Tamandua tetradactyla: one gene and its partners. The protein of the gene in region 2 interacts with the protein of the main gene of each other region in a pairwise test. Links are inferred from orthologs where the notes say so. Each region holds a gene or a part of one and is shown on either strand. Other genes may lie near its edges. The genes, in order: FAM118A, MOB3C and ZBTB10.

Region 1 (10,559 bases), on a different chromosome or scaffold from region 2:
AAAGGTTGCTGGCTGGTGGACTCTGCTTCTTGTGGCTATGTCGCTCTGCTTTGCTCTCTCTGAATCTCCCATTCTCCAAAATGTTTCCTCTTTTATAGAACTTCAGAAACTAATCAAGATCCACCCAAATGGGTGGAGACATGCCTCTACCTAATCCAGTTTAACAACCACTCTTGATTAAATCTCATCTCCAGGGAGATGATCTGATTACAGTTTCAAACATACAATACTGAATAGGGATTAGAAGAAATGGCTGCCTTTACAAAATGGGATTAGGATTAAAACATGGCTTTTCAAGGGGACATACATCCTTTCAAACCAGCACAATCCCCAAGGGAAGCAGAGAGGGCACAACCTCTGCAAGGTCTGCCATTGTTAAAAACTCATGCAAGATGCAGGAAGATGGCAGAGTAGGGTAGGCTGATTTCACTCCTGCTCCGTGGGAAAACAAGAGAAGGGAAGGAAAAGACGACAGGGACTGCAACCCAGGGGGTGACTGATCAAGGAGGGTCTTCAGCATTCTATAGGGAGGTCCTGGTAGAGAGAGGAAAGGGGGTCGGGATGGGGAGAACAAGGCGAATCTGTTAGTTTGTGACCCCACCAGGGGCAGGTGGCAGCACATGGGGAAGTGCAGATCCAAGGAAAAAGACTGTCCCTCCCTATAGGATACCAATCTCCAATCTAGCCTGTGCCAGCAGCTGGCTGGGGAGAACTCCCTGCGTAACCTTGAAGCTGGCTGTACCTGTAGGGAGCCCAGGGGCATGCCAGCCACCCACAGGAGTGGCCATCCTGTCAGGAGCTACAGGCGGCAGATCTGCCAGATGTTGTGATCAACTGCCCTGTCCCCAGTGCTGGGACCAGCTGTCCTGCCGTGCATGCCATCCTGCCCAGCTGGCCATTCCAGGTGAGCCTGAGGGGAGGAGGAGGACGTGGCTCAAGAGCACCATCTTCTAGGAAGAAGTAGTCAGTGCAGTCTGGCAAACTCCCTATCTGCCTAGGTTTGTCTTTTTATTTAATTTTTATTTTATTTTATTTCTTAAAATTATTTTTATTTCTATTTCATTATTTATTTGTTTTCTTTCTTTTCTGTGGGCATACATCTGAGTTCATACCCAGTATATCTTGGGGTGTCTCCTTCTAGATTCAGGGACTACTATTGCTGAGGTTTTTTTTTTCTTTTTGGGTGCATGGACCAGGACTTATGCCCGGGTCACCCGCATGGTGGGCGGGCGCTCTGCTGCCGAAATACCCATGCACTCCTGCCCAGCTTTTAAAAGACCCTTAAGTAGAATTACATCCCCTATATGGGATCCAGGCTTTGCTTTAATGGGGAATTACTGACAAACCAACTGCAAAATGGGACCTTTAATGCAAACCCAAGTAAATTCAAATCTTTAGACAAAGGAAGGAAACCAACTTGCAAAACGTTATTAAGATAATCAAACTTTCTGAACACTACAGAAAATCACATGCATGCTCATTCTGTAGGCTTGGATACTTCCCACCCCCCCTTTGAAAAGCAGGTCTTACAGGTGGCTTGAGCCCCCTTCCTATACAAGCTGCTTCCCACATTTGGTGTCATAGGTGAAAGAAGTAGAGTCCAGCCCTCTTTCCAGCAGCATGATTCATGGAGGTCCCAGGAGATTGGAGCTTCCAGCTTATAAGAGGCCTTAATCACAGCTCCTGATACAAAAGCTAAAGGGACCAAACTGATCTAAGGAAGATGAGCAAACCTTCTTGGGGACCCAAGAGTAAGTGAACAAATGAATAATCATTCTACCCATTTGCTGGGTCTGGACTCAGCTTCTGGGGTGGCACTTTCTAATTGCCCCAGAGAGTATTAGCACCCTCTCTACTTCCTGGAAGACTCTGCATTGGGCAAAGCAGGCAGGCTTTCTGAAGCTAAAGAGGCAGACAGGTCTGACTGACCTACCTACTGGCCAAGGGACCGCAGGCAAATTCCCTGGCCTCTTGGAGTCTCAGTTTCCTCATTTCTAAAATAGCAACTCTATTAGTGTTCTGTGGCTGCTATAACAAATTACTACAGACAGGGGGGCTTAAAACAACAAAAATGTATCCTCTCACAGTTCTGGAGGTCAGAAATCTGAAATTAAAAAATAGTAGTATACACATACAAGCACACATATGACTTCCATTTGCACATCTCTCAGGGCAGCCCCCATTGATGCCATCACGGCCACCTGCAACACAGAGAGGACTCGCATCTGGGCCCTGTATTTGAGGTGCCAAGCCTTGCCATGTCACATGCATACAGTCAATCCTTTGCCCATTGCACACTGAATAAGACATGCTTACCTGGATGGGCGGGATAGGCGCCTCTGCTTCCCATGACACCTTGCCAACTAGCCCTGCCCATCCCTTATCTACTCTGGGGATGGTCAAGGTGGCTTGGTAGCAGTGCCCCACTCAGTCCTTTTCCAGGACCCAGGGCACCTACATCTCTCTTGAGTACAGGGGAGGGGAAGGGTTAGGGGAGTTTGTTCCTAAGGCATCCCCTCCTGCTGGCCTTGTCTTTGCAAGGCAGTGATTTGGGGTGCAGGGGCTGAGACCTGCAGGCTGTGTTTTGGATGGGGCCGACTTGGCTGGAGGGTTTCAGGCATAGCCTACCCTGTGCATAGATTTCTTGGATTCCACCACCCCAGGAACTTCAAGGATGTCTGCCCCAGGGCCGCCTACACCCAGGGTCTGGCCTCCGCCAGCACTCAGCCCAGAGTCCGGTTCTCAAGCCCATGCCACCTCTCTCAGGTCCTGGTCCCCTGCACCCGGAAGTAGCTCATGAGCTGCCCTGCACTGTGTTCCATCCTGTGACCATGGAGGAGGAGCTGAATGGAGAGAGGATGGTGACACATGCGGGAGATGGGGTGCGCAGATGCCTGGGCAACCTCAAGGGGCTTCAGCATCCCTGTCTGTTCAACTGGAATGAGAACGAGGGTGGTGCCCTCACAGGCTTGTTCCAAGATGCAGATGAAGGAGCACATGCAAAGCGCTTTGGCAGGCGCTGCCATGCACAGAAACCCACAGCTGCCTCACCACTTGGTGTTATGGACTCTGGGCCCCCAAACTTCACAAGCTGCTAAAACTCAGAAGACCCATGTGGATGACAAGTTCAGGCTTTCTCTGTGGGCCGGGGGATGTTAACAGCCAACTTGAACACTAGACAGGAAAAAATATACAGAGAGAGGAAGTAAGAATTAAATGTGGCTTGGCCAGGGTGTGGGTGGGTGTGTGGATCTGGGAAGGACGGGAAGGGGAAGTAGCTTCTGAGCCCATCGGTTCTTATTCAGAGAAGAGAAAGACTTCCAGTGGCAGAGAAGGACTTGGATAGGGGGACATACGAGTCATAAGAATAGCAGGGGACACTAATCCTGTGCATGCTCCTCTGCCAAGCCTGCCCATGTGTGACCTTACTTAGTCCTCTCAATCACCCCGAGAGGCAGGTACTGCTAGCACCATGGTTTTACAGGCAGAAACTGGGGTGCAGATGGATGAGAAGACACAGCCCTCAGGTGGTAGACCAGGCTCCAGACCCAAGCAAGTGTCCTGCTCAGCCTCCTGGGAAGTGTATTTCTTTCCTTTTCTTTTTTATTGAGGTTTTATATATATACACAACATAACCTTTCTCATTTTACAATCCAACTACCAGCATACGATGTGTTGGCATTAATTTCCATTCATGATGTTGTGCTATCCTCACGATCATCTATCACCAAAATGTTTCCATCACCCCAAATAGAAATTCTGGACCCATGAAGCATTAACCCTCACCCCTCATAACCTGTAATCTACTTTCTAACTTTATGTATTTGTCTATTTTAGTTATTTCATATAAATGAGATAATACAATATCTGTCCTTTCGCATCTGGCTTTATTTCACTCAATGTAATGTCTTCAATGTTCATCCATGTTGTCACATTGTTCCAGTTTGCTAGCTGCCGGAATGCAACACACCAGAGACAGATTGGCTTTTAATAAAAGGGGATTTATTTCATTAGTTCTTCAGAGGAAAGGCAGCTAACTTTCAACTGAGGTTCTTTGTTATACAGGAAGGCACAAACTGATCTCTGCTGGCCTTCTCTCCAGGCCTCTGAGTTCCAACAACTTTTCCCGGGGTAATTTCTTTCACATCTCCAAAGGCCTGGGCTGAGCTGCGCGTGCTGAGATGAGGTATGCTGAACTGCTTGGCCTGTGCTACATTGTGCTCTCTCATTTAAGCACCAGCCAATTAAGTCAAACCATCATTCATTGCAGCAGGCACGCCTCCTAGCCAACTGCAGATACAATCAGCAACAGATGAGGTTCATGTACCATTGGCTCATGTCCACAGCAACAGAACTAGGTGCCTTCACCTGGTCAAGTTGACAACTGAATCTAACTACCACCCACATGTTTCAGAATTCCATTCCTTTTTTATGCCTGAATAATATTCCATTGTATGGCTATACCACATTTTGCTTTTGCTTTCATTGGTTGATAGATACTTGGGTTTCTTTGAGCTTTTCACAATTGTGAATAATGCCCTGTGAAGATTGGTGGGAAAATTTCTGCTCAAGTCCCTCCTTTCAATTTTTCTGGATATGCAACTAGAAGTGGGATTGCTGGATCCTATGGCAATTCTATACTCAACTTTCTGAGGAAGTGCAAAATTGTTTTCCACGATTTTACATGTCCATGAGCACAAGCATTTCTATTTTTCTACATCCTCTCCAATGCTTGCTATTTTCTGTTTTCAAAATAATAGCCATTGAAGTGGGTGCGAAGTTGTATCTCATTCTGGCTTTGATTTGCATTTCTCTAATGGCTGATGATATTGGGCATCTTTTCCTGTGCTTACAGCCATTTGTATGTCTTCTGTGCAGAAATGTCTACTTAAGTTCTATTCCCATTGTTAAACTGAATTGTTTGTATTTTTGTTGTTGAGTTGTAGGAGTTCTTTATATACTCTGGATATTAAGCCCTTATCAGATATATGGTTCCCAAGTATTTTCTCCTGTTCTGTGGGTTGAAAACGTATTTCTTGATGAAAGAATAGCACAAGAAAGATTACTCATGCCCAAGCATTTGGGCATCGATCGTGTGCCCAGGGCTGTGCCAGCTCTGGGGGTCCAGGGGTGAACAACGCAGACAATGTTCGGGCCTCAAGGAGCCTCCGTTCCAGTGGGAAGTGACAGTGATCAAGGGACGGAATTCCGGATAGCGACAATGGCCACTGAGCTACCGGCGGCTTCGGCAAGCAGGGACCCGTGGCCCGCCGGAGCCTGCGTGATCTGCGGGCCGCAGCTGCCAGGGCCCTCGATCCTGCTCAACGCTGAGCAGGGCCCGGCAGAGCGCGCCCGCCCCCCCCCCGCCTTTTGCACATGCAAAAGAGAGACGCAGGAACGAGCGCAGGTGGCCTCAGGCCCCGCCCCCTCCTCAGAGAGGCGGGGCGAGGGGCCCGGGACCACGATAAGCCGTTGGTTTCCAGGCGGAACTTTCGCGCGGCGACCGAGAGCCCCCGGAGGAAGGCTTTGCGGCGGCGCCGCGGCGGGCAAACGTGGAGGCGAGGCTGAACGCGGTACCAGTCGGGCTCGGGCTGCGCCTCCCGCTCTCGCCGCTGGTGCGCGCGCAGACGTCGTCAGCCGCCGAGGAGGGGAGGCGGGCGTGCGAGCAGAGACCAGCGACTTGGATTCGCCGCAGGTAAGGGGCCCGGGTCGGGGGAGGCCGGGGTTCCTGGCCGAGAGCCCTCAGGACCCTTCCTCTCCCAAGACCCTTCTTGGGTCCCCACCGCTTTGGAGTCCTGACAGCCTTCAGGACCCTCGGACCCCGAAACCCTCCACGATTGTCCCTAGACTCGTAGACTCCCTGAGGACGTCCAGCCGCCTCAGGGCCCCGAGACCCCGACAAGATTCACTGAGGACCCCCGAGCCCTGAGACCGCTGAAGATTTTACCCCACCCGGTCCCGAGCCCTCATAATCCCCTTTTCCATGGGACTACTTCCTCCCCCCAGGATGCCCTACCCGCAGACCCCCTTCCTGACCCCCACCCTGCAGGGACCCTGGCCCCGGAGACTCCACCCCCTTCCCGGAGGAGGACCCCGGCCCCTTCTCTCCTTGCCCCTGGGAAGTCCCTGGAGCGCCTTCACCAACCTTTGGACTTGTTGGCCCGCAGCTGTCGACCACCGACCCTGAGGCTTAGCAGTCTGCCTTGGCTTCCCCTCCGCGCCCAACTCTAGGGCAAGGGTTCTCACACTTGAGGTCGCTGGACCTGTGCGGTGTCCAGGGAGTTCCCTGGGTTTGTGAATCCTTAGCGATAATATAAAAGAAGTGCAAGCATATAACAGGTCACCCGGATGTCCACGTTCTTCTAACAGGTACTGGCTGTGATTTCAGTGTCTGTGTATTTACATGTGTCCATACTATTGAAACCAGAGTAGGGACAGTGTGTAACTTTTACTGCTCTTTGGTTAGACTCATATGGTGACAGAGAGCAGTCTAGAGGGAGAGGACAGGAGATTTGGATGTGGTAGTGGGAGGCAGAACCAAGTTGCTGAAGGGGTCAGGGCAAACCAGGATGCTTTCAGGTTGTGTCCATGCAGGTCTTGAGGTTGTCGTTCTTAGAGCCAACGTTTTTCTGAACACCAGTTGGCTCCAGGAATTAGCACTGAAGATGGAGATGGCATAGTCCCTGCTCTCTGGGCTTAGTTGGAGGGGAGTGGGGCGAGTAGGTTGGACAAGAGGTGGTTTGTAAGGCAATAACAATATAGTGGCATTAAAGCCAGCAGGGTGGGGGGTGGGATTCTCAGGAAGGGGTCGTGTTAGGAAGGCTTTCTAGGAGGGAAAGAGATAATAGGTAACAGGAAAACTGACTATTGGAGGTAGAGCTTGAGGACAAGTTTGCCAGGGCCACCTCAGGCAAAGGCAGAGAGGCATGCCAAAGCCCATCAGGTTTTGGAATTGGGAAAAATGTGGCTGGAGCATAGAGAAATCCTGGGGGATGGCTGGAGATGTGTTGTTTCCCTGATGAAGATCAAACCCAACTTTCTAAGGCTGGTATGAGAGGGAATTGTTTCCTGAAGCCCCCACCCCCACCCCGTGCCGTTGGTGCTTTCTAGAGTTACCACTTTTACTCCTATGCCCCAAGTCACTGAAGATCCCAGCTGAGACTGAAAGAAGATGGTGGGTCAGTGGAAAGGAGCGAGGAAATGAGTAGACTAGAATGGGAGAATCTGGGAAATTGGGCCGAGTGTTGGATCCGAAAGGGGTGTGCCCAGCACAGAGGCTGGACCCACCAGATGGAACCGAATTATATGAGCTTCTGAAGCCACGTAGAGGATTGATTTGAAGAAGGGAGTGGGAGGCCATTAAAAGGTATAACTATGAGTAGGAGTGGTGTGTGTGTTTGAAGAAGTGCTCTCACTATTTGGGGGAAGCAGGGCCACATGTGAATAGTGTAGGGAACCTGGCCCAGGTGGTGGCAGTGGGGACCATGACTTCCACAAGCATAGCTAAGCTTACAGTCCAGACCCAAAAGACGTGCTCATTCCTGTCTGAGCCTACAGTTTCCTGCCTGGAAATTGACGTAGGTACTTTGTACTTCCTTTTAGGCGAGGTCTTTGTATTTCTCACCTCGGGGCTCAGAGCCTTTGTGCCTTATCAGCTGAGTGTCTGTGTCACAGGGAGCCAGACATCCCACAGGAGATGCACATGCAGCACAGCTGGGTGCGGTGAACAGAGGCTGGTTCCCAGTGATGTGACCTGATCAGGAAGGGTTTGGATGCTGGATGCCAGTATCCTGCAGGAAAGGGAAAGCTGCTGAAGCTGAGGAGAGACAAGTTTAGATGTGCTGCATTAGAAATATCACTCTGGAGACCGTGTGGGATTAGAGGGGCTGAAACTGAAGGCAGTGGGTTTTAGGAGGCCAGACAAGAAGCTGTGAGGGCTTTAAGGCAGTGGCAGAGAGTGTGGATCAGAAGACATTTGGAAGGAAAATCTACAGGATTTCTGTTTGGGTGAGGGAGAAGAGACTCTAGCGTAGCGCTGTGCAGTACAGCTTTCTGTGATGCTGAACATGTTTTGTGACTGCCTCACCACCCCACCACAGGGACTTTGAACACTGAGAACCTGACTAGTGTTACTAAGAACTGAATTTTAAATTTTATTTAATTTTAATGAATGAAATCCAGTTAGGACATGCCCTTGCGGGTCCAGGCTTGTACTTAAATGTTACCCCATCTGAACACTTCCAGCAACCCTGGGAGGTGAAAGTATTGTTCTTTTTAAAATATTCTTATTGATAAATCTTCACACACGAACATTCCATACATGGTGTATAATCAGTGGCTCGCAATATCATCACATAGTTGTGTATTCATCACCATGATCATTTTTTAGAACATTTACATCACTCCAGAAAAAGAAGTAAAAAGAAAAAACTCATACATATCGTAACCCTTACCCTGCCCCCTCATTGACTACTAGTATCTTTGTCTACCCACTTTATTTTACCCTTTGTCCCCTCTATTATTTGGTTATATTTTATCCATTTTTTTTACTCATAAAAGGAGCAACAGACACAAGGTTTTCACAATCATGCAGTCATGTTGTAAAAGTTATATCGGAAGGCATTGTTCTTATCTTACAGGTAAAGGCAGTGGAGGCTCAGAAAGAGTAAATTATGTGCCCAGGTTTTAAGTGGTGAACACAGACTTGTGCCCAGTCGGTTTAGCTTCTCAGGCTGCTCATTTCACTATATCTGTGTTCCTTTCCCCAGGAGCCAGGGGCCATCTGGGTGGTGGTGATGTTTCCCCTGCAAGGCCTGCCTTATCTGCTCCCTGTAAAGTTAACTGGGACAGTTGTGTGATAAGCAAGCACAGACCAAAAAGAAAACTGTTTTGCGCTGGTCATTTGGCCTGAGGCTTCTTCCTGCCTTTAGGCTTCCTAAAGGTGGCCATTTCTCTTTGCAGTTTTGGAGAACTAGTTGGGTAAGAGAGAAGGTGGACCTGCAGGTCAGCCAAAGAGATGTAAACGAGTGTCTAAGCTGAATTTTGAACTCCCACTTGCCAGGTAGTGACTGGTGTGGTGGAGGGTGGGGCACGAGCCTGGAGTTAGTTTATAGCTCACTCCTAGCCCTTGGGGAGCCTAGACTAAGTCACGTTGCCTCCTAGGGTCTCAGTTTCCACTTCTACCAAATTAGGGTATTTGGCACTGTATAACCTCAAGATCCTTTCAGATCTAAAATTCTGTGATTGTAAGTTTCCTCATGGGTTGCTTCCTGGAATTTCTCCTGTTCCTCTCAGGGTGGATACATGCTGGTGGGTCAGCATGCTGTTGGCCTCTGTTTTGGTGTTTCACCATTATTAGCTTATCATTAAGTGACATGTTTATTTGAGTTGGGTGACACGTCACATCTGATGGGCAAAGCTTTAACAATGGCAAGGTCTGCAGGAAAATATCAGGTATGTTTATTTGCCATTCTGAGCAGCCTCGATGTTAGGAACAGTGCAGGACTATATACTATGATTGTCAAGCTTTTAAAGGTTCATATTAAATGCCTAACCCTTGGTGTAAAATGAGAGGTGATTATAGTATATTTCTTAGTGTTGCAGAGGGGATTAAAAGAGATAACTCATGGAAGTACTTAGCACTTTCCCTCAAATATAATGAGGGCTCAAAAAGGTGGCAGTAATTAATACTGCCTTTGAACTGAAATATGTCCTTTACATTTTTATTAGCGTTGGGTTTTATTGTTTCCTTATTTTGGGCATATATGCCCAGGCAACTGTTCAGAGGCACTGGTTTCAAGAAGCCAATTAATGCATTTTGATCATTAAGAAACAAGCAATTTCTGGTAATAATTCATTTCAGGTGTGTAAAAAGTGATCCTCTAAGTAGTATTATTCAAATTAAGGTTTTGCTTTTTTGTATGTTGAAAAAAAGCAGCTCATCCTGAAGATCCCTTTTTAGCAATGACTGAGCTTCAGTTGTACCACATGTGGTTAAATTAACATGGACTTGTCGTGATGCCTTGAGAAAGCCATGTTCACTGTAAAGCCCACTAATGGTAAGAGAGACCAGCTGGGTGCTGAGGCAGCTTGTAACTAATAGACAGACATTTTATTATGAGTTTCACATGTTAGTCTCATTTAACTCTGTGGTGGAATTCCCTTTTAGCAGATTTGGAAACTGAGGTTCAGAGAGGTCTCCTGACTAGGCCAGTGGTGGACTCACCTTGGCTCTGGAGCCTGTGTTTTCTCAGCCACATCCCCAGGTGCTGCTTCCCCGAGCTGGGAGTCTTGTTTCGGTTTCAGGGCTAAGCGTCTCTGTAGTTCTAAAAGTTTAATTTTTGTCCCTTTGTCCCTTGTTTCCAGTTCAGATGAACTAAGTCATGCTAATTAAATTCATGAGAGACACATCCATTAACCAGATCCCAGATTATTTGTGGTTGGAAACAGAACTGCCAGATCTACTTCAAAGCTTATTCTTTCTTCCCAGAGATTTCCCCTCATGCCTCGTAGCCCCGAGTCTACATTGGGAGCTCATTGCTACGGAGAAGGCTGCTTGT
Region 2 (10,223 bases):
CTCCCACTCTCAGCAAGGAGATTTGGGAGGCTATGTCTTCTTCTCTGCTGTGGCAAAGCTGTCCTAGGATTAAGGCACAGACACCTGGCACGGCTAAAAGGGTGTAAGAGCCCAGATCCAGGCTCACACCTGGCCGAGGGGCCTCTTCCCCAGTGCTCTTGGGAAGGGTTGAGTCCTGCCTCTCTGAGAGCCCTTCCAGGTCCAGCCCAGGTTCCTCAGACTTGTCCTGCCCACTTAGATTGGGGCCTGAATCCCAAGGGACCTGAGCTCCCATTCTAAATCTGGCCCATTTCAGTACACTTTCCTTATCTCAGCCTCAGTCTTCTCAAAACCATGTAAAATGAAGGTACCCGCTGTTGAGCATGGTATTGCAGGATATGGCAGGCCACTGCCTGGCTGGGGAGGAGTTACAGACACTTAATTGTGACTCAGTACCCAGAGCTTCTCTTGACATTCAGACTTCTCCCCTCTGGGCTTGGCCACCCCACCCCACCCATCTCTGCTTCCAGTCCTTCCCATAGCCTCCATAGGGATCAGCATGAGTGCGGGTGGTGGTGGGGCCCAGGGTACAGGTGGGGCTGCTGTGATGAAAACGGAGTCATGCCTGCTCAGCTCATCGGCTGACACCCCTGCCTCCTGCTGCCCTTGGCTGGGGAAGTAGGGCAAGGCTGACATCACTCCCCACTTCCCCCCATCCTCACCCGCCCAGGCTGCCCTGCTGAGATAAGAAAAGGCCCCTGTAGCCTGGGTCTGACAAAGAAAAATTGTGCTCTCAGAGCCCCAATCTGAGGCAGAAATAGTATCTGGGCCTGCCCACTTCCCACCTCGTTTCCTTTCCTGAGGCCCAGAGTAGGAGGGACGTCTCAGGAGGTGGGAGGTCAGATCAGCCCAAGCAGGGGGGACCTGCCATGGACCTCTTCTGGTGCCCTGTGGCCTGGAGGATTCTGAGAATCAGTGTCTGTGGCCCAACTGGGGTGGTCTCTGGAGGGACGGACACTCAAGCTTCAGGCAAGGAGAACCCCAAACTGGAAGCCAGGCAGTCCTAGCATAAGATGCCTAACTCTGAACAAGACATTTAACCTCTCTGAGCCTCACTTTTCCTCTTCTACAAAATGGGAATGAAAACCATGTCCCTGTCACACAGAGGCTGCATCAAATGAAATGCCTCATCTGCAAAATGGGCTCCTGGTGGCTCCCTCCCAACCTGGCCTGGCCTGACCCGGCTGTCGGGTGGCGCTCACCCACGCGTGTGGGGAACACGTCCTCGTCGTTGATGAGCCCCTCAATCCAGTCCATGAGCAACGCCATGTAGCGGGGCGCCGAGAGCTTGGCGGGCCGCCGGTACTGGCGCTCATCCTGCCAGCGGTACTCGTAGCGGGGCCCGCCGGCCATGACGGGACAGCTGGTCTCGCTACAGCGCTCAGCCATGGTGCCGTAGATGAGGTTGATGCGGTTGAAGAAATCCACCACATGCACAGCAATCCAGTCTTCGATGTTCTCACCGGGCGGCAGCCTCACCACGCTGCGCAGGTCCAGGCCGGACTTGAGTGAGGCCTGGGCTTTCTTGTACAGCTCAAAGCGCTCTGTGCCCGGCTCGAAGCGCTTCCGTGGCCGGAATGTCTTGTCCTTGGAGAACACCTGCTTCAGGCACAGGGCCATGGCCACGGCCCTGGGGATGTCCTGCCAGGGACAAGGAGAAGTTACAGAGTGGTCAGGACCTTACCAAATGGCTTTGACTTTCCAACACGTCATTTCCCTGTCACCCGAGAGTATTCAGTCCACCGCTGCACCCTCCCCTGGCATCTTGATGGGCCTCACCACTCTCACCCCTGCCAAGTCACAACCCCTCCCCGTCTTGTTTTGTTTCCCCTCTGCTGTTATCATGTCTCAGAGAGAGCTGGGCCTGGGCTCCTAGCAGGTGCTCATCAGACTTTTTGACCATCAGAGAGGTCACAGAGGCTCCTTGCAGTCCTGCTGGGAGGCAGGGGCCCGGACAAAATGACCTCTGGGAGCCCATTATAGGCCAGCTGGTACAGCGTGGGAGAGCCTGGCTGCATTGTGCATGGGGGAGGCCCCCCTGCCCCTGCCTTCAACTTCCTCTGGGATATCCCGTAGTCCATCTGGCCACCGGGGATTCCCAGGGAGCAGGACGGACATTTCTACCAAAAATGTCCTTTCCTTTTTTTAACCCTGAAAGAGGAAGGGGCCTTGATGCAGCCAGCTGGACGGCTTCCAGGTGGCTGCAGGGGCTGGAGGAAAGGGGACGGTGGCAGGTCTCCGAGGGCACTGTTTCTTCTGACAGTGGCTAGAAATCCTTCCCTCCAAGCCAGCCTCCTCCAGCCCCAAACCTGAGCCAGGCTCTGGCCCCTTCCATTGCACCTGACATTCAGTAGACAGTCTAAGAGCATCTGCTATGTGCCAGGCACTGGGTGGTAGTAAGAGTGTGGTTGGATCCACTCACCTGGGCCCATCTAAAGCTCAAACAAATCTGCTCTGCCTCTTAGAATTCAGGATCCCAGACTCAGAACAGACTTTGAGGACAGCAGTCAGAGCCCCAGGCTCAGAGGCAGGACTCCTGTGATCTAATCCCAGCTCCACCACTGACTTGCTGGGTGACCCCCGTAGCAGGCACGGATTTGGCCCATGCAACCTCCTGGGTCACTCCGATAGAGGCCAGATTTCTGGGACTCTCAGAATAGTCATTTCATCTCCCCTGTGAATTTGTGAGCTCTTGGGAAATATAAACCCAGGCTATGGGCTGAGACTAGAATTTAGCCACTAATGATTACAGGTTAAGTTTTGGGCTCTGGCCCCAGGCTGAACTCTGACCTTACCTTGTCCCTGGTCAGTTTGGGTACAGACCCTATCCTAGACTGAGGCTTGATTACCACCACCAACAAGGCCTGACCTTGGCCTCAGCCAACTGGTTGACACTGGAGCATCTTCCTTCCTCACATCTCTGGTGATGGTGGGGCAGGATTGGGGAAGGGATGATGGAATTAAGGCAATAATGGGCGAAAAGTGGGAGTAACCAAACACATGGATTGGTGGGGGTCACTTCAGGCATGAAGTCAAGCTGGCAGAGGAACTGTTTGGAACAAATGTCCTTCTTTGTACCCATAACAAGCAGGCCAGAATGAGCGACAATCAAGTGACATGAGGGGGATTCTGGAAGGTAGGGCACGTCTCCCATCAGGATCTTGTCCCCACGGAAATTAAAAAAAACCCACAGGTGCCATCGTATCCATCTCTCAGCCCCTCGACTTTTCACCCAAGATGTCTACAGGGTGGGACCTGAGCTTCCCGACCAACGAGGAGCCTATGTCCCTGCTTTACTTGCTGTTCCCATTCTAAATTCCGCTTTATGGCAGGTGCTTCCCAAATCACACCCACTGCAGTTGGATGGGGGTTTCTGGGCTCTCCACATTCATGTGGCCCCCTCTACAGTTACAAACAGACCCATCCTCAGGCATTCGACACCTCACCCCACCTTTCCTGGCCCATGTCCCATCTTCCTATGCTAACTGCCCTGGGCTTCTTCCTGATCCCTGAACGCATCCCACACTCTCCTGCTGTGTGTTTTCTTACACTGGTCTCTCTGCTTGACGACAGGTTGAATGCTACCTCCTCCCACAGCCCCACGGTCCTGCTTCTCCTTGTTTGGAGACTACTCTTTCACCATTGCTGCCCCCCACCAAGTCCTTGCCCCAGCACCCTTCCAGAGCCTAAGTCAGGGCCCAGCACATAGTCAATGCTCAGGCTTTAAGGAAAACTTAGAACCAGAATCTTAGAGTAGGAAATAGCCCTGAGAAATCAGCTAGTCCAGCCCACTTCTTGTACATTCTTGTACAGTCTCTGGGGAAACTGAGACCCAGAGAGGGAACCTGAAAAGCTTGAGGTCACACAGCTAGTTACAGGCAGGTTTGGGACAAGGGGGCAAGGCTTAATCCCTCACTCCGAGTAAAGAACTATTTATTTTTCTTTGTGGGATGGTCTGGTAGAGAGATAGGGAGAGGTGAGGAGTGGGAGGGGAGGGGAAACATCTTTTCCACCAAAGGGAACAACCTACTTCCTGTTCTCCAATACACCCACCCTCCCGCAGTAACTGACCAGTGAACTTGAAACAGGTCTTCTCCCCAGGAACATGTGAGCTTTTGGAGGGAGGGGGGTTTGGACACAGGGCAGGAGCCCTTCTATCCATGCAGCTTGTCTCCAGTCCCTCTCCCTCTCCCTCTCCCAGAGCGCCCTCACCCGCGCCTACTCTCTCTGGTGCGCATCTGGGCTTCCCAAAGGAAGAAGGCAGGACGGCCCTGCCTAGTTCCGACTTTTAGCCAGAGCCACACCTGCCACTTTCCGGGCCTGACCCAAATTCTCAGCAGGTTCATAGCCCCAGTTTGAACCAAGAATCCAGCCTGAGGCTGTACGATGTGGGGAGCGCCGTGCTGACAGGAGAACAAGAGACAAGAAGAAGCCGAGACTCCATGGTCTTTCCCGCGGCGCTCGGCCACCCATGCCAGAACTCTGCCTCCCCCTGGACCCTCTCACCCCTCCTCTGACCCCGCCCAGCTGTCGGGCAGGATAGGTTTTAGGACCCAGAGGAGCCAGCCTGACATTTCCGCTCTCGAAGACACGCCCCCTCAGCCACCGCCTCCCCGCCCCACCCCACGCGCCCCCAGCCCCAACTTTCGGAGTCGTGAGCCTCAGACCCCGGACCCGGGACTGTGGCCCGCCTGCCTTCGAACCCAGGTCGCCTCTGGACGGCGCCACGCCGGGCAGCCCAGGAAATGAAAGTGGAAGCAAGGCGGGCGCGCGGCGGGGACGCGGGCGGTCGGGGCGCTCACTCGCGGGCTCCGCCTGGGTGGGATAGGTCGAGTCCTGCTCCGGCCGTGGGGGTCACATCCCCAGCGTGCTGGGCCGCCCTCCGTCTGCCGATCCTCCCGGTGCGGGTCCTCTCGCCTGTGGCTTCGCCTGTCCTGCCTGGCCGGCGGTCGCTCTCCCGCCCCCAAGGCGACGCCAGCTCCGCCCCGGCCCTCCCGACCCCGCCACGCCGCGGCCGAGGGGCGGGGAGGGGGCGGAGGAAGGGGTCCCCCCCTCCCCAATACACAGCCACGCTCAGTCCCGCCTTTCCGGAAAGTCCATATCGGGCTCCCAGCTTCCCGCTGGGTAAAGGACTGACTGAGCCCTCTCGTAGTCTTCTTGGGCCTCTACCAAAGAAGCAACCTCAGCTTCCTCGACTGTAAAATGGGAACAAGCCCAGCTTCGTGGTGCGTCAGGGACATGAAGTGACAGACTAGGGCAGAAACAAAAGAGCTGCTAGACAAATGGTTTCCTTATCCTTCTGGAATCATGTGTCTCACTTGTACCTGAGCTCAATGGAAAGGATGGGGTCTGTCCTGTCCATCTTCAGCTCCTGGCAGGGTGTCTGGCTAGGACGGCAGACATTTCTCATTTGCTGAATGAATGAATGACTCAGGAATTGTGAGCTGAGCCCCTAAGGCCCAGCATTGGCCCCTAAGACTGCTCAGTTCATAGACTTCTCCTTCTCTGCCAGGGCTGGGGTTCCTGATCAGTCTGGGTGGATGGTACTCTCCACTTGAAGTCACACCATTTCCCACCTCCAGACCTCTGTCCTGGTTGTTCCCATTTTGGAATGCCTTCTTGCCCTCCTGCAAGACATGATCCCTCCTCCCTACTTTTCTACATGGGTTTCTCCCCTGAGGGCAGATATAACATACCTCAATGCACACGTGGCCCCCAGGCCCAGGGACTAGTTGAATGTCTGCATCATGGGATAGGAGGGAAGGCTGGCGGCCTTGCAGGCTGGGAGGGAGAAGTCACCCTGGAAGGGGGGAAGTGAGAAGGGAGGGGGAGGGGGTGGGGGAGGAGAGAACTGGGAGATGGCCGTGCTGTTCTTCCTTTGTGTCTGGACCTGTTGTTCACTCGCTGGCATGAGGACACATTGGATCCTTAAAAATCCCAGCTAAGAGAAATGAGGAGCCATTCTTTTGTTGAGCATCTATTTTTGCCCCAGTCTAAAATTCTGTGTATTTTTATGTTTGCTTCTTAACTCTGCCCCTAATCCCCTATAACCTAACATTTGCACGTCCTAGTGTGTAAGGGGCAAATTCAAATGTATTCGCTATCCTAATCAATATCGTCCATCAAGCATGAGTCTGTTGCCTGATTAGCAGGGAATTGGGGGATGAAGCTTACCCAGTTGCTGACCTCAGGAGCTGACAGACTGGCGGGGGGTGACAACACACACAAGCCACACAAGGTCAGAGCTCAGTCATACAGCAGTGAGAACAGGGCTGTGGACTGATGCACTTAGAAAGAGTGGTTTTCTGCAGGGAACACATGGACCATTCAAACTGGGTATTTTGAGGAGTGTTTCATGAAGACACTATTTAAGAGTATACATGGATAGTGTACCACCAAAGGGCTGGCAGCAGCAATGTGTAGCTGTTACCCCCAAATGGAAGGAGCGAGGGGAAAAAGAGAGAACTATGAGAACAGGGCTGACTGACAGGAGCTGTGGCCTAAGATTGAGGAGCACACCCAGCCCACAGCAATCACAGGGAAAGCCTGGGAGTAAATCAGAGCCTCCCTCACCTCCCACAGGCTCATCTCCAGCCCAGTTACTCCATTGACTGAATCCTAGCAGAAGCCAGGAACGAGACATCCTGTGACTTGTTGACATAACCCATAGAGGTTGACTCCCTGGGGTATAAAGCAGGGTGGCAGAGGGTGGAAAGGGCATCTGGAGGGGCAACAGAAGATACTTGGCATAGTTGGGGTCGGAGCTGACTTCACAGAAATTGACTTAGAAACTGCTTAAGCTTTCCTTATCATTCGGTTCTAAATATTTCATGATTTCATTGTAATTTCCTCTTTAACCCATGGATGATTTTGAAGTATGTTTTTAGTTCCTCAACATATGGGAGGTTTATGTTTTTCGTGGACTTCTAATTATATTGCATTGTGGTCAGAGATCATGGTTTTCAAGATTCTTTGTAATTTGATGTGACCTCTGTGGCTTTGTGCATGGTGAGTTTCTGTACATCTGAGCTGGATTTTGTAGGCTAGGCAGAAGTTTGCCTGCTAAAGGGTGAAAAGTACAAAATCTTACATGGTGGGAAATAGAGATAGATCCATTTTAAAAGGACTTCAGAAGTTCCAGGCTATCTGCAGAAGCCCTAGATGTATGCTTCAGTGTAAGCTGACAGGGTGGCAAGGCGGGATGGGAGGCAGGGAGAAGGGTTGGGGATGGCCAGAGATGGATCTCTCAAACATCTGGCCCTGCTGCTGCTTCTCAGTCTGGGCTAGAAGGATCATGTTCTTCCAGGAGGTTCTGCTGGGGCTGGGAAGAAACCCAGACCTTGGAGTAAAAGGTTCTGATGAGCTGTGTGACCTTGGGTTAGTCCTGACTCTCTAACACACCCTATAACCTACAGCACTGTGCATCTACATAAGACTGAATATTAGTAACTCCCTAGGGGCTCCAACAAGGGCCACATCTCTGAAGCTTGGTGGGAGTGTGGAGGTGTGCAGGGAGGTTCTGTCCAGCCAGGAGTCAGTGAAGACCTGGGAGGGTATGTACCATCTTCTACTGCATAACCCAGGCATATGGGAGCTCTGAGTTGCACTGGGGTGCTGTCCAGGACCAGGTGACCTGGGATCCTGTTCTGATTCTGTCACTGTTGAGCTGTGTGTCTCTGGGAAAGCCCTGCCCCTCTCTGGGCCTTAGTCTCCTCTGCACCATGAAAGCATCTTCCAGCCTTACTATCAGAGCCAGCATCCTGCCCCTGCCCATGCTGGGCCTGTACCCAGTGGCTCCACTGAAACAGAGTGGCCTCTCCCTGGGGGGCTCCCAGCCCCATTTATGCCAAGAAAGCCCCCACCCATCCTCAGATCCCTCTAGGAATGAGCTACCATGCTCCCAGCTCCTCTAACCAGGCATCTGGAAGCTCCTACAGACTGATCGGGCTGAACCCTCTCCTACTCTCCTTCCTATGGACAAATGCCTATTTCAGCTTCTGCCTCTCCCTGTCCAGGAAGTGGGATCTCCCATCTTGAATCTTCCAACCCGGATGTCGAGGAGGGAGCAACAGACACCCACATAGCAGTAAAAGGAACATCCTTTAACTTGAAGAAGACAGGCTTAAGGGTATATGACAGAGGAAGACAAGGTTGAAAAGGATGTACATTCAAATTCTGTGTGACTTGAAGAAGGTACTTACCCTCTCTGAACATATATTCCCTTCTCTTAAATAGAAATAACATCTGCCCCACAGAAGAACCATAATGATCAAATGTGATAGCCCCTGTAAGCAGCAAGGACTGTGGCCAGTCTGTTTTGGAGGTGCTGCCTTCAACCCCCCAGTGGGTTTTTGTGTAGAAGAGAGCTTGAACTTCTTCTCCGTGGTCCTGGAGGGCAGTGGGCAGAGATCCAGGACCATAGGAGGAGACAGTCGGTACATCAATGCTGTCCAACCCTGCAGCCTGGATGGTTGTACTCACCTTCCCAGCTCAGAGATCTCCAGACTCCATGCTCTCTGCTCCAAGGTCCTCCTTTCTTCTGGTTCCCCACTACCCTTGGGGTGGAGACCTCTTCAGCTTTAGGGTCTTCTGTCTTGGGAAGGAGACATCTGGAGGCTGTGGTGGAAGCCTGGTATACAAAGAAGTGCCTTAGGACAGTATCACAGCCGCCCTGACCTGATCCTCAATATGGCCCACCCTGGTGGGTGGTGTCCCTTTCCCAGGCACATGCTCTCTGACCATTTGGGTTAGTGCTCAGCTCGGGGTGCCCAGGAGCAGAGGTGGTAGTAGGGGGGTAAGTATTTAGTGTCCCAAGTTCGGCCCTTCATAGGACTTTCTAAGAAGGTGGCACAGGAAGTTCTGCCGTATCTGCTCCTCCTCTCCTGAGGTGCTGCCTGGATCACTACCGCTGTTCAAAGCCTTTCTCTTACAGGAAGCCTCCTCAGATTGCCCCAGTCCCCATGGCCTTCTCATCCTTCCTCCACAGCTTTGTTTCTCCAAGTGTGTTTAGTAACTCCTGTCTCAAAGCTACCAGTGGGAATGGAGTGGTGGCCACAGAGCCCTTGCCTGTCTGATTCTGACCAATGCTTAAAATCTAACTACCACTTACAGGAAGTCCTGGGAATACATGAACACATGAAATGATACTACAGGGATAAAGGCAGCAGAATTCAGAATGAGAAAGTTTCTTCAAGATAAATTCGCAACAAATAAATGACAAGAAGATAAAAGAGGGAGGGGAAACCTGCAGGGATTTAAAATTGAATACTATTCAGGAACTATAACCAACAAACTGTTGATACTTACAACAACTAGGATAAGTATCAAGGCCATTATGCTGAGTGAAAAAAATCCAATCAAATTTTTATATCTATATGATTCCATTTATATAACCTTTCCACATGACAAAATTATAGTGATGGAGAGCAGAGCAGTGGTTGCTGGGTGTTAGGGCTGGGAGGAGGATGCACCCACGACAAGGTTGCACCCACGACAAGGTTGCATGAGGGGGTTTCCTTGGGTGATCACAGTTCTGTATCCTGATTGTGGTGGTGGTTATACAGATTGTATTACATAGGGTTTTCTAGAGAAACAGAATCAACAGGAGATATCTGTAAATATAAAATTTATAAGAGTGTCTCATGTAACCGTGGCGATGTAGAGTCCAAGGTCTGTAGGGCAGGCCATGAGCTGGCAATTGAGCTGACCTTCCAATGAAGGTCCTCAACAAACTCTCAGGAGACACTGGCTCGCTGAAGCAGGAACAGTGATCGTCTCTTCTGAGTCCTCCTTAATAGTATTCTGGTGATTAGTTTAAGCATCACTCACTGCAGAAGACACTGCCCTTAGCTGATTGCAAATGCATTCAGCTGTGGATGCCGCCAGTGTGGTCATGATTTAACTCCATGAAATGTCCTCATAGCAACGGACAGGCCAGCACTTGCCTGAGCAGACAACAGGGCAGCACCACCTGGCCAAGTTGACACATGAACCTGACCATGACACAGATCTATACATTGTGAAAAAAATTCATAGAACTATAAACCAAAGGGAAAAAAAGAAAAATTAGTCTTTAAAAAATGGGTAAAATTTGTGTAAGTTCTGTAGGTTTAATTAATTGCATTGTATTAATGTCAATTTCCTCATTTTGATAATTGCACTGTGGTTATATAAAATGTTATCAT
Region 3 (10,317 bases), on a different chromosome or scaffold from region 2:
TACTTCTAACAAAAAGTACCTGCATTATTTTATCATCCCGTTTGTCTTTTCTTGCTAGTCCACAAGCTCTCTGAGGACAAAGAAAATATTTATAGGTCTTTATCTCCAGTGCCATGCATGTACCTTTCATAGGTAAATTAAAGAGCAAGAAAGAAGCCAATCATATTATACTATAAGAGCTAATAAAACATATCATTTTCCTACAACTTGAAAAACACAAGGGAAATGAACCATCCCTTACTGAATCTCATAAAATGAGTGAATGTTATAACCTATATAAATAACAAGAATTACACAATGTTAATGGTCCATAGAGTCATCTTTAATATCTATTTCTGCTTCTTGGTGAAAGGTCTTTCCAACTTTCTTCCTAAATTGTTAAAAACAATTTTGTTGGGCCTTATTTTTGCAAAATACAAAGAAGGCTGGTTATCTCTGCTTCACCTTTGCTCCAACTGTTGGCATCCATATATATTTTACACAAATCACTAGCCTAAATTCTGAATTTCTGAAATGTTTACTAAATTTACATAATAAGATGGGTGAGTGCATGTTTTAGGCTTAGAAAACTGGAGTTGATAGAATGAGTGGCTTAGGCTATGAAAATTGCACAATTGGGTAGAAGGTGGCATGAAGCAAGATACAGTAGTAATCACTGTTACTGAAAACAATTTTAAACTCCTCTGAGCCTTATGGTTAAACCCAGAATGAGTTAATCATTGAACTTGACTCTGAGATATAGTCAATTGTTATCCAAAGTAAGAACTAGATTACTTCTGTCCTTATAAAGAATAAAGGGATAACTTGGAAGTGAAAACCCCAGAACATAAATTCAGATAGCATGTTTTAAAACTTTCCTGTGAGTAAAGCCCTTAGCATCCAAAATGCAATTAACAGAATTAACTTTTTAAGAACATGCTACAATTCTGATCACAACCAAGGAAACAATGAAAATGGGCTTTTCATTACAGAAAGCATAAATAAAAGCAACCTTTAATAACACACAAAGATTTGGCCTAATGCTTTTCAAAGAAGATGCTTCTTTGAAGATGTCTCAGGATGTTTAAGGAATCTGATGGTGAAAGTCTCTGAAGCTATAAGAAGAGTAAGTTTGCTCTCTACAATCGAGAAGAATTCCGTGACAGAAAGTGGCTTCCAAACTGACAAAATTGGTGACAGTGAGACAGAAGGTACCAGGCCACAAACACTTCATTACTGATACTTGCAAAAAACAGGTTATGAAAATAAAAAATGGCTATCATTTTACTAGGGGACTATGTGCTGGCATATATATACTCTGCAAAAATTAATCCTTACAGTAAGGAAAGTACAGTAAAATTAGGACCCAGATCCACCTGACCTTAAGCCCAAGAATGCTCTTACAGACTGTGTCACACTGCCTCCTACTGGTAATCAAAGTCTACAGGGCAGCGACATCTGACAGAACTCTGCCCACTGGAAGAAATGGAGAGATTTCATGAACCTATCAGTGATAAGACAAAGAGATACGTAAATTGTACCTGGAGCCAATGGCAAGATATCTGTAAAATATCCCTAAATTTATTTAGACTGAAATTAGGAAGATTACTATATATATGAATAAGATTAATTCCAAGTGAAAACATGCAAAATCTAACCAGGGGACCAATATATACTTAGACAAACATGACTTACATGCCTTAGACAAACAATGAGGAAACCGTATTGTCCTCAATCCAATGAAAGAATGTCCTAAGAGAAAGAAGATGGCCTATAGATTTATCTACAAAAAGGGGAGTCTGAAGGATAAAAGGGGGAAAGGAGGGATAGTTCAGAGATTAAGTTTTGAAAAGGCTTCACCTAGGACTGAGTTTCCCGATGCCAGTACAAGCCCGTAGGACACATCACGTTAAATTTACCTCACGGTTATCTAACTGATTCCCCTTTCTTTGATTTCAGGTTCACTAAACAGCTATCTAATTATAATTTGCATTTCCATTCAGGTTTGCCCACAGGGAGAGGCTATGCTGATAAGGAGTAACTGGTTCCACTACAGATTAAGAAAATGCATTCTAATTGCCTTTTTAAAATTTTGTAAATAAACTACCATTATTTGGAAAAGTAAACTTTTTGATTTCACAAATCCCCACATCTGCCATCTTACTAAATAACTGCAAGAATAAATTACTTAACCTTTAAGGCCTCAGATTCCTCTTCTGTAAAATGGGAATAAAAAATACCTTACAGAGTAAGGTTAATAAATGCATGCCTGGCACACAGAAGACAAGGAAATGTTAAGTCTATTTCATTCCATTCTGCCCAAGCTTGCAAGTCTAGTAATTGCAGAAAGCTGAGACCGAACCCACATGTACTTTAAAACTCATTCTTTTTCAGTTAAACTATTGCTTGTTGGCTCTCCTCTCAGTTATTCCCAAGGACCCTACAAGTAAGGACAATGTTACTTAACCTTTCTGGGCATTATAAAGGTGATCTTTCTTCTAGGGCTTAGGCAACTGAAATTTGTGCAAAAACTAAGCTACATTATCTACTGGGAAATATAACCCTATGTTTTAAAAGGTAAAGCCTAACTTCTGAAAAACTTTTGTGCCATGCGATTGGACGGTGCCTAATTAACTTCAGTATAAGTGTGCTGAATGGCAAGATCACTCAGAAAACACTGAAGGACTAATACCCGAAAGGGTTTTCTAAAGCCAACTGACTATCTGACTACCTACCAATACGAAAGAATGAATTCCACCTACCATTATGGATTGCCTAAAATCTGAGGACTGATCAAGATCTGTCTGCTTTGAAAAGTGATATCAAAATGATAAGACTAGGTAACTATCTTTCAACTTGAAATGTTAAAACACAGCCTAAGAATTAAAGAACAGCTTACTTTACTTATTACTAAGGACTTAACTATTCAAGAAGTGTGGGTAAATTCTATCAGTCTAAATCAACTATGGATACAAGTAACTTCACTTAAAACCGTTCTAAATGCTAAGTTTAAAATACTTAACGTAAACTGCATTTATAAGCAACTTTTTGAAAAGGTGAGCTATAGAAAATCTCACAGCACAAAAAAATCCAGGTAGATGGAGACAACATAAAAGTGCTTTAGTTTAACAACAGCAAGCCCCCCCCCTCCCCCAGGAAATTCAACAGAGATGGTTTTAATTAAACTATTCACAAGAGCAAGGAGCGTTTTCCAAAATAACTTCCTCCACATCACAGTGCTCTCATATCAACGTTATCCTGACCTGTTAGAATTTTTTTCGGTTGGATATTTTCCTGAAAGGGTTAAAGTCAACGGTTCAGGAAAGTGTTGCATTCTTCAGCAAGCTGCCCGATTTGACTTCCACCAACATATAATCTTAAAAGACTGAACATAAGGCAGCTTCTCTAAAATCACAGCTAATAAATTGTTGACCGCAAAGTCAATCTTTTAGGTTAAAAACAACAATCTCAACTTTCTTAAACTTTCTTTCCATTCAATCTGAAGAGACAGCAAAGAAATCGGAGTCATACAAAAATCAGGAGAAATAAATCGTGCGTTACGATTAGAAAATTGCCATCCACCATCCGCCCGTTCCCCCTCCACAGACACAACTTTTGAAAACTTGTTCCCAGGCTTTTTCAACTCCCCCCTCCCCACCCCCTCGCTTAAGCTCCCTGCATCTCTTCCAAATGGAACGACGTCTTTACCCAGGAAAATGGAGTTTTTAGCTGATGAGCCTTTACCTAGAGATCTGAAAAAGTAAGAGCAGGATATACGGTACCTGGGCGTTGGCTTCATTGAGTTTGTGCTCGGTAGAAACGTGGTGCCTCAGCAGAAGGGTTTTCTTGTAGTTGCGGGTCCCTCGGGAAAGCTCGTCATGCCCCACTTGGGGAGGATCCCCGCTTCCCCCGTCCTCAGGGGTCTTTTGGCACCACCCGCAAGACATAAGGCCAGTATCCTTGGAATACCGCAGCCAAGGAAAGTCTTTGAGCCAGGAGTTCTGGAAGGAGCAATGCAGCTTCTGCATTAGGGACTTGGGCCGCGCGAGCGGGAAGTGCTGGACAGTCTCCCCTTCGCCAGCTCCCACACCGCTGCCCTCCGCTTCGTCCCCGCCATCGCCGCCCGACCGCCTGCTGCTGCTGCAGCTGCCGCCTTCCGCCCCGCTGCCATCGCCCAGGCTCGCCCCCTCCTCCTCGTCCTCGGTGCTGTCGCTCAGGGACGCGCCGTCCTGCATCAACTCCTTCCCCTCCAGCGCGTCCAGCTCGAGTTCCACAGTCGCCGGCCCTCGTCCGTTGAAATGCCTCAGGGGCCAAGCCGAGGTATCGGGGCGGCCGCGGCTGCTGCCATTGTTGCCGAGACCCCCGCCGCCGCCTCCTCGGAAGGCCAGAGTCCGACGGTTCCTTTCCGCTAGCAGGGGGCCCCCCGCGCCACCGCCGCCCAGCGTGGTGGGGCCGCCCGCGTCTTGGGGGAGCAGCAACTCCTTGGTTTCCTCGGTGGCGGCGGCCGCCCCGGCGGAGGCCTCCAGGTCTTGGGGCTCCAGGCCCTCCAATTCCACTTCCTCGTCGGCCCCCCGCCCATTGAGCTGCTGAGGCGCTGGCGGCTGGGGCTGTCGCGGCTGGGGCTGGTGAGGCCAAGCCGAGGCCTCCCCGCCAGCGTTATTGTTCGTGGAGCCACTGCTACTGCCGCCGCCGCTGGCGGTGACCAACCCGCCTCCTCGGAACGCCAGCGTCCTGCGGTTCATTTCACTGAACGACATGGCGCGCGCCGCCGCCCGGTGCCCCGGCTCGCGCCCGGCCTCGGGCCGCGTCCCGCGCGCTCCCCGCAGCTCCCCCTCCGCTTCGCCCCCGCCCCGCCCCCGGCGTTCGGGTCTCGCGGGGCTGGGGCCCGGCCTCGCCCTCCCGCCCGGCTGGCTGGCTCTCGCTCCCGGGGCTGCCTCACGAGTCCGCCACCGCCGCCGCCCGCCGGGCCGCCGCCTCCGGCCGCTCTCCTTGTCCTCCACCTCCGCCCTGCTGCGCTCGGCGCAGCGTCCCGCGCGGAGAAGGGAGGCGGACGGCGGAGGTGAGGAGCTAGCCGGGGGCGCGTGGGGCCTTCGAAGTTGAGAGGCGGAGTGAGGGGGGACCCTCCGCTGCCCCCGCTTTAAATCCCCACGCACACACAGACCCTCCAAAACAGATATCCTTCCTCCGGCGCGCCGAGGGGTCCCAACGCCGCCGCCGGCTTCCGAGGAGCTGAGAGCAAGAGGCACGTTAAACTGCTGGGCTCCGCCACATAACGAACCGACAATAAAGCCGGCGGAGCGTTTCCGTCCGACCAGGCCCCGGCGGAGGTCGAATGGCAAATGAACAACGGACCGTGAGCCCACAATGCACCGGGGTAGCAGTAACCGCTGGAGGGGGAAAGGGTGGGGGCCGGGCTGGGGGAGGGGGCTGGGCTTGGGGCTGGGCCGGGGTGGGGTGGGGGCGCCAGGGGACCGGGAAAGGGGCTGGACCGCGCCTCTGGCCTGGGGGCGGGGGTGCGGCCGCGGGGAAGGAAGTCGGCGGACGCGCGGGGGACAAAAGGCCGGGCGGCAGACTGGGGGTCTCGTCTCGGGGAGGGGGCGGGCGTGTGCGGCCGGGGCGGGCTACGCGGTGGACAAACAGCTGGCGAGTGTCAGGGTCTGGCCACCTCCCCGCTGCCCACACGCACCTACCCGCGCCCGGGACGCACATTTTCCTTCTCTCGCCACGAGTTCACCTGGGACTTTGGAAATAATTGTGCGGTGGGCGCTGCGCTCCAGCCTTGTCATTTGCTCGGGGGGTGGGTGGTGGTGCCCAAGGAAGTGAACTTATTTTGTTCCTTCACAAAGACTGGACCAAGGAGTGCCTTTCACGCGAGGAGGTTGCAACCATGGACACCTCCTTCTCTGATGCATTGTGTGTGCGAGGCGGCACCTCGGGCCCAAGGCTGTAATCATTTCACAGAAAATGCACCGCCCCGAGTGTCTTATTGCTGTGATGAAATGGAAATTTAAATAAAAGGTCGAACACGTGCGTTCACTGGGAAGTATTGACATGGGTGTTACATCACCAGCAGCCAATCAGATAACTCTAGTCGTGTTTATACTTCTACAACCACCTTGTGAGTATTACAGTATGTCATAACGTTATAAATATTAGGCAGGGTTTTCCCCAGGAGCGGGGAGGAGTCTGCTTATACGGACTTTTGCAGCTCGGAAGATGGTGTTTTAAGACAAGAATGAACTTTTAAGAGTTTTGGTGTTTTTTGTTTTTTAACTGTTTACATTGCATGTGGAATTTAGAGACCCTAAAAGAACAGATTGAGCTGGAATTTTTTAAATTCCTTACTATGCTAAATTTAGTAAATGTTCAAGTATTTAGGCTCCTTTTACTATTTTACAACGTGAAATGTCTTAATTTTTTTTTTCAAACCTTTCAGGTAAAAAAAAGATGTTCTCAAACTATGGAGGGGCTTTTTACTCTTTTAAGAATATATTTATTAAAAGTTGAATAGAAAAACTAAAATGCATCCAGGATACATTGTTGAGGATGAAAAATCATGTTTATATAGTAAGGTATATTTTTAAATTTAGTAATAGTAGTACATTAAGGTGTGCATAGAAAAAACTGAGGAATACTTATGAACTCTTTACAGTTGTATCTAGTGGGAGGGGCTGTTCTTGGGGCTGTAAAATTTCTACATTGTTCACTTAAAGTTATGTGTTTTAAACAGAGCTTATGTTACAGTTTTTAGGCCTTCTAGTTTTATGTTTCTTGATTTCAAGAACATAAGCATATATTTATTATTCTTTTTCCATTTTAAAAATAACAATATTGTATATTGTCTTTTAAAGACTTTGACTATGTGCTGTGAAATATGTGTTTTAGAAGATTAATTAAAAATTTTCCCAAATATATTATGAACTACCATTTATATTAATATTCTTTAATGGGCTAAACACAGGCATTCACATCCAAACTCATGAATATTAGTGATTGCATAGATGTATTCAAAGCAGAACCCACCTAATTCACTGTACTTTTAGCATCTTTATAAATGAGCAGTGTTGTAGATCAAACAAAAAAACATAAGTTCTACCTTATAGAGTAAACGTAATTGTAATGTAAAGATTAACACTAAAAAAATAAAAAGAATAGCATTACTAACCTGCCATACAAAGATTTTGGCTTTGAGTTGTTTTCCCAGAATGATCACATAGCACTCATCTGAGCCATCCACGTTGTCTGCTGGCCACTGGTAATCAAGAGCATGAAATTATAAAAGGTCCTCAGGGTGGTACGTTTTGTGGTTGGTTGTTTTGTCTTGCTTTGTTTTATTTATATGAAAGTTTACGACAGTGGAACCTGTGACCTTGACCCAGTTTGTGACCTGCAGTTGTGAGATTATATCCACTTGACTGTATGTAATATGTGCTTCCATGTAATACAGGAACGAATAATATCATGCTTTGTCCTTCAGTCACTTGTTTTGTTTTATAATTCCAGGCACTTTGCATGGAAATGGATTATCTATTATATTTTAACCATAACAACCCTCTCCCCTGTAAAAAGGGAAAAATTACTGAAGTTAATTACCTATCTAGGTTTGAGGAAGTGTTAGGAACTGAAAATGGATTTAAGAATTTTTCTTCAACATTAAAGTTTATATCCGTTATAAAACGGTTAAGTTCAAATCTTTACATCTATTCATCTTTTATGCCTAATACATATTTTGTAAGTTTAGGCTATTTGTATTATTTGTTCTTTCTGTTAGTTCCAGAATCACCAAAAATGTTTTGAATCCATAATGCTGCTAATTGTATCAGGAGTGATAAATTTCCCAGACATTTATCTTGTCTTATATTTTATAAGATCCCCATTGTCTTCTGTCTGGAATTAGGTTTAAGCTTGGACTAATTAGGAAAGAATGACACCAGTTTCAAATGGTATAAACAAATGGCCTAAAATTGTGGAAATCTAGGACCAATGAACTATTTAACAGCCAAACAGTGTTGTATGTATATGTATATATATGTATATGGGTTTATATATTTATGTGTGTGCATGTGTATGAGTTTTCTTCTCTAAACCCTGAGGGAAGATCGAATCAGAACCAAAGATCACAGGGATAGTAATGGCAATCTCACAGAATACCCTATACCAAGGGAACTTTAAGTAGCAAAAGGGGATCTCCTACTCTGTAAATGGAGTTTTTTTAAATTCCCCCACACCTTCTAGTCTCCTACTAGCAAGCAGGGATCTGTTCTATACTCTAAATCCTGTATTTGCTGTTGGGGTTCTACCATATTTAAGGGAATTCCCCCTTATTCTTACCAGGGGAACCCCTCAAGAATGGGGCATCCCCAACCAATTTGTCCCCAGATTTCATTTGAGAATGTAAAACTGATACCAGCCCACCTTAACTGTGCGATGGGGCCAATGTCCTATACCTGATTCAGTTCATCTTTCATAGTTGAGCGTGACTGTCTGTAACTGCCTGAGTAGATGAAGCTTGCTACAAACACTTGGCTTCTTCAGATGTGTGTAGAATTCACATGGGTCATCCACCAAAATGAAGTACTTGAGGATAGGGACCATGCATTGTACACTCAATACATGCCTTACCCTACCCACTGCCATCCCCAGCCTGCCATGTAGTAGTAGACAATTAGTAAATATTTATTGAACAATTTGCTATACCTTCCCTTGCAAACTGTTTTGGCAAGCAACATTTTCTTCTGTTTTATTTCAGTTAAGTAAAAAAAAAAATCTTTAAAGGTATCAAGCTAATGTTTCCATTGCATTTACATTAAAAGCAATGATAATCATATAGTTGAATATAAATATCTTACTGTATTATTAGTGCTGTTTACTGTGCAGTTTACAGTAGATTACAAAAATTCAGCTTACACAACCTCCTTGTGAGTTAAATCATGGTGGATTTTTTTTTTGGTAGCAGAAAAGTTAATGAAAAAGTTACACAGGAAGTGGAGTTCCCATATAACCACCTCCCGTACAAGCAGTTTTCCCCATTAACATTTCACATTAGTGTAGTACGTTTGTTACATATGGTGAAACGTTATTATTATGTTATTAACTGAAGTTTATAGTTTACATTAGGATTCATTCTTTGTGTTGTACAGTTCTGTGTTTTTTTAAAACTTTTGTAGTGTTAACCTGTATACAACATAAAATTTCCCATTTTAACTACTTTCAAGTATATAATTCAGCAGTGTTAATTTCATTTACACTATTTTGCTACCATCACTGAAACAGGAAGATATTTTCCTTATTTAACAACTGAGAAAACCAAGTACAAAAACGTTAATAACCTGCTCATGGTGATCAGATGGGGCAGAAGTAGATGTAAAGTTTGTAAGATTGCTAACAATATCCTCCAATCTTCAGTTACCCTTAGCTACTGAAGTACAGAGGATGCACTTAACAATGTTATGTCTACACAATTACAGGTTATACTGAATTTTTAACTTTTTTTTTCTTGTTCAAACATTTTCATAGGAGAAAGGCTTAATAGTAATAATACACAAAGGGCTCTTAAATCAATAAGAAAAAGAAATGTAGCAAAAGAAGAAAATGCACCAAGGATGTGTATTAGAAATTCAAATAAGAAATAAAGTGACTGGTAAACATGAAAAGATGTGCTGACTTGGCCAGTAATCAGAGAACTGCATATAAAAAAATATATACCAGTGATTAGATAAGATCACATATAAATATATAAATGAGAGAGAGAGAAGCTTATAGTCCCTAAAGCAGATACATAAGTCCATATGTGAATACAGGCATGGAAAGGAATTTAAAAGAAAGTTCATCAGAATAGGAGCAATAATTATGTCAGTAACAGAGTATTTCAGTTTTTAAGAAACTTTCTTAATACGTTTTTGAACTGTTATAGAGTACAATAGTGTTTGAATTATATATTGAGTATATAATCAAAGAAAATCAATAAAGCTGTTTTCATTTGGGGAGAAAGATGGTAACAATGAACTTTGATCATCAATGACATGTTTTTTTTTCCCCTTGTGGGGAAGAATACTATTCATTCTTCTTTTTCCATTTATTGTGAACCAAATTTGCCACCTGAAAATAAACGCATTTCAAAAGATAAAAACCATGATGTTTCTCTTCTTAGAAAACTCCAGTTCCTTTAAACATTATTTTACAAAAGCTTAAGTTTACATGCCTATTTCAGGGAAGCATCTGTCACAATATGCCAGACATTCTGGCCCTGCCCTCCAATCCATTGTCTACAGGACAGCCAATAATCTTTTCAAAATGCAGATCTGATCCTATCACCCCCACCTGCACTCATGATTCCTG

What was found.
Region 1: the proteins of MOB3C (region 2) and FAM118A interact in binary tests that used the Homo sapiens proteins (3 or more experiments, as listed by UniProt). The link is inferred for Tamandua tetradactyla from reciprocal best matches to the Homo sapiens genes MOB3C and FAM118A.
Region 3: the proteins of MOB3C (region 2) and ZBTB10 interact in binary tests that used the Homo sapiens proteins (3 or more experiments, as listed by UniProt). The link is inferred for Tamandua tetradactyla from reciprocal best matches to the Homo sapiens genes MOB3C and ZBTB10.

The regions. Positions count from the first base shown.
Region 1 is NC_135333.1:39,588,576-39,599,134, forward strand, and holds the start of FAM118A (protein FAM118A), read left to right. Parts: upstream 1-5,505; 5' UTR 5,506-5,695; intron 5,696-6,167; exon of another isoform or gene 6,168-6,369; intron 6,370-10,559.
Region 2 is NC_135328.1:176,225,966-176,236,188, reverse strand, and holds the start of MOB3C (MOB kinase activator 3C), read right to left. Parts: upstream 5,054-10,223; 5' UTR 4,842-5,053; intron 1,681-4,841; 5' UTR 1,660-1,680; coding exon 1,242-1,659; intron 1-1,241. UniProt on the Homo sapiens protein: May regulate the activity of kinases.
Region 3 is NC_135332.1:124,290,853-124,301,169, reverse strand, and holds the start of ZBTB10 (zinc finger and BTB domain-containing protein 10), read right to left. Parts: upstream 4,771-10,317; 5' UTR 4,737-4,770; coding exon 3,762-4,736; intron 1-3,761. UniProt on the Homo sapiens protein: May be involved in transcriptional regulation.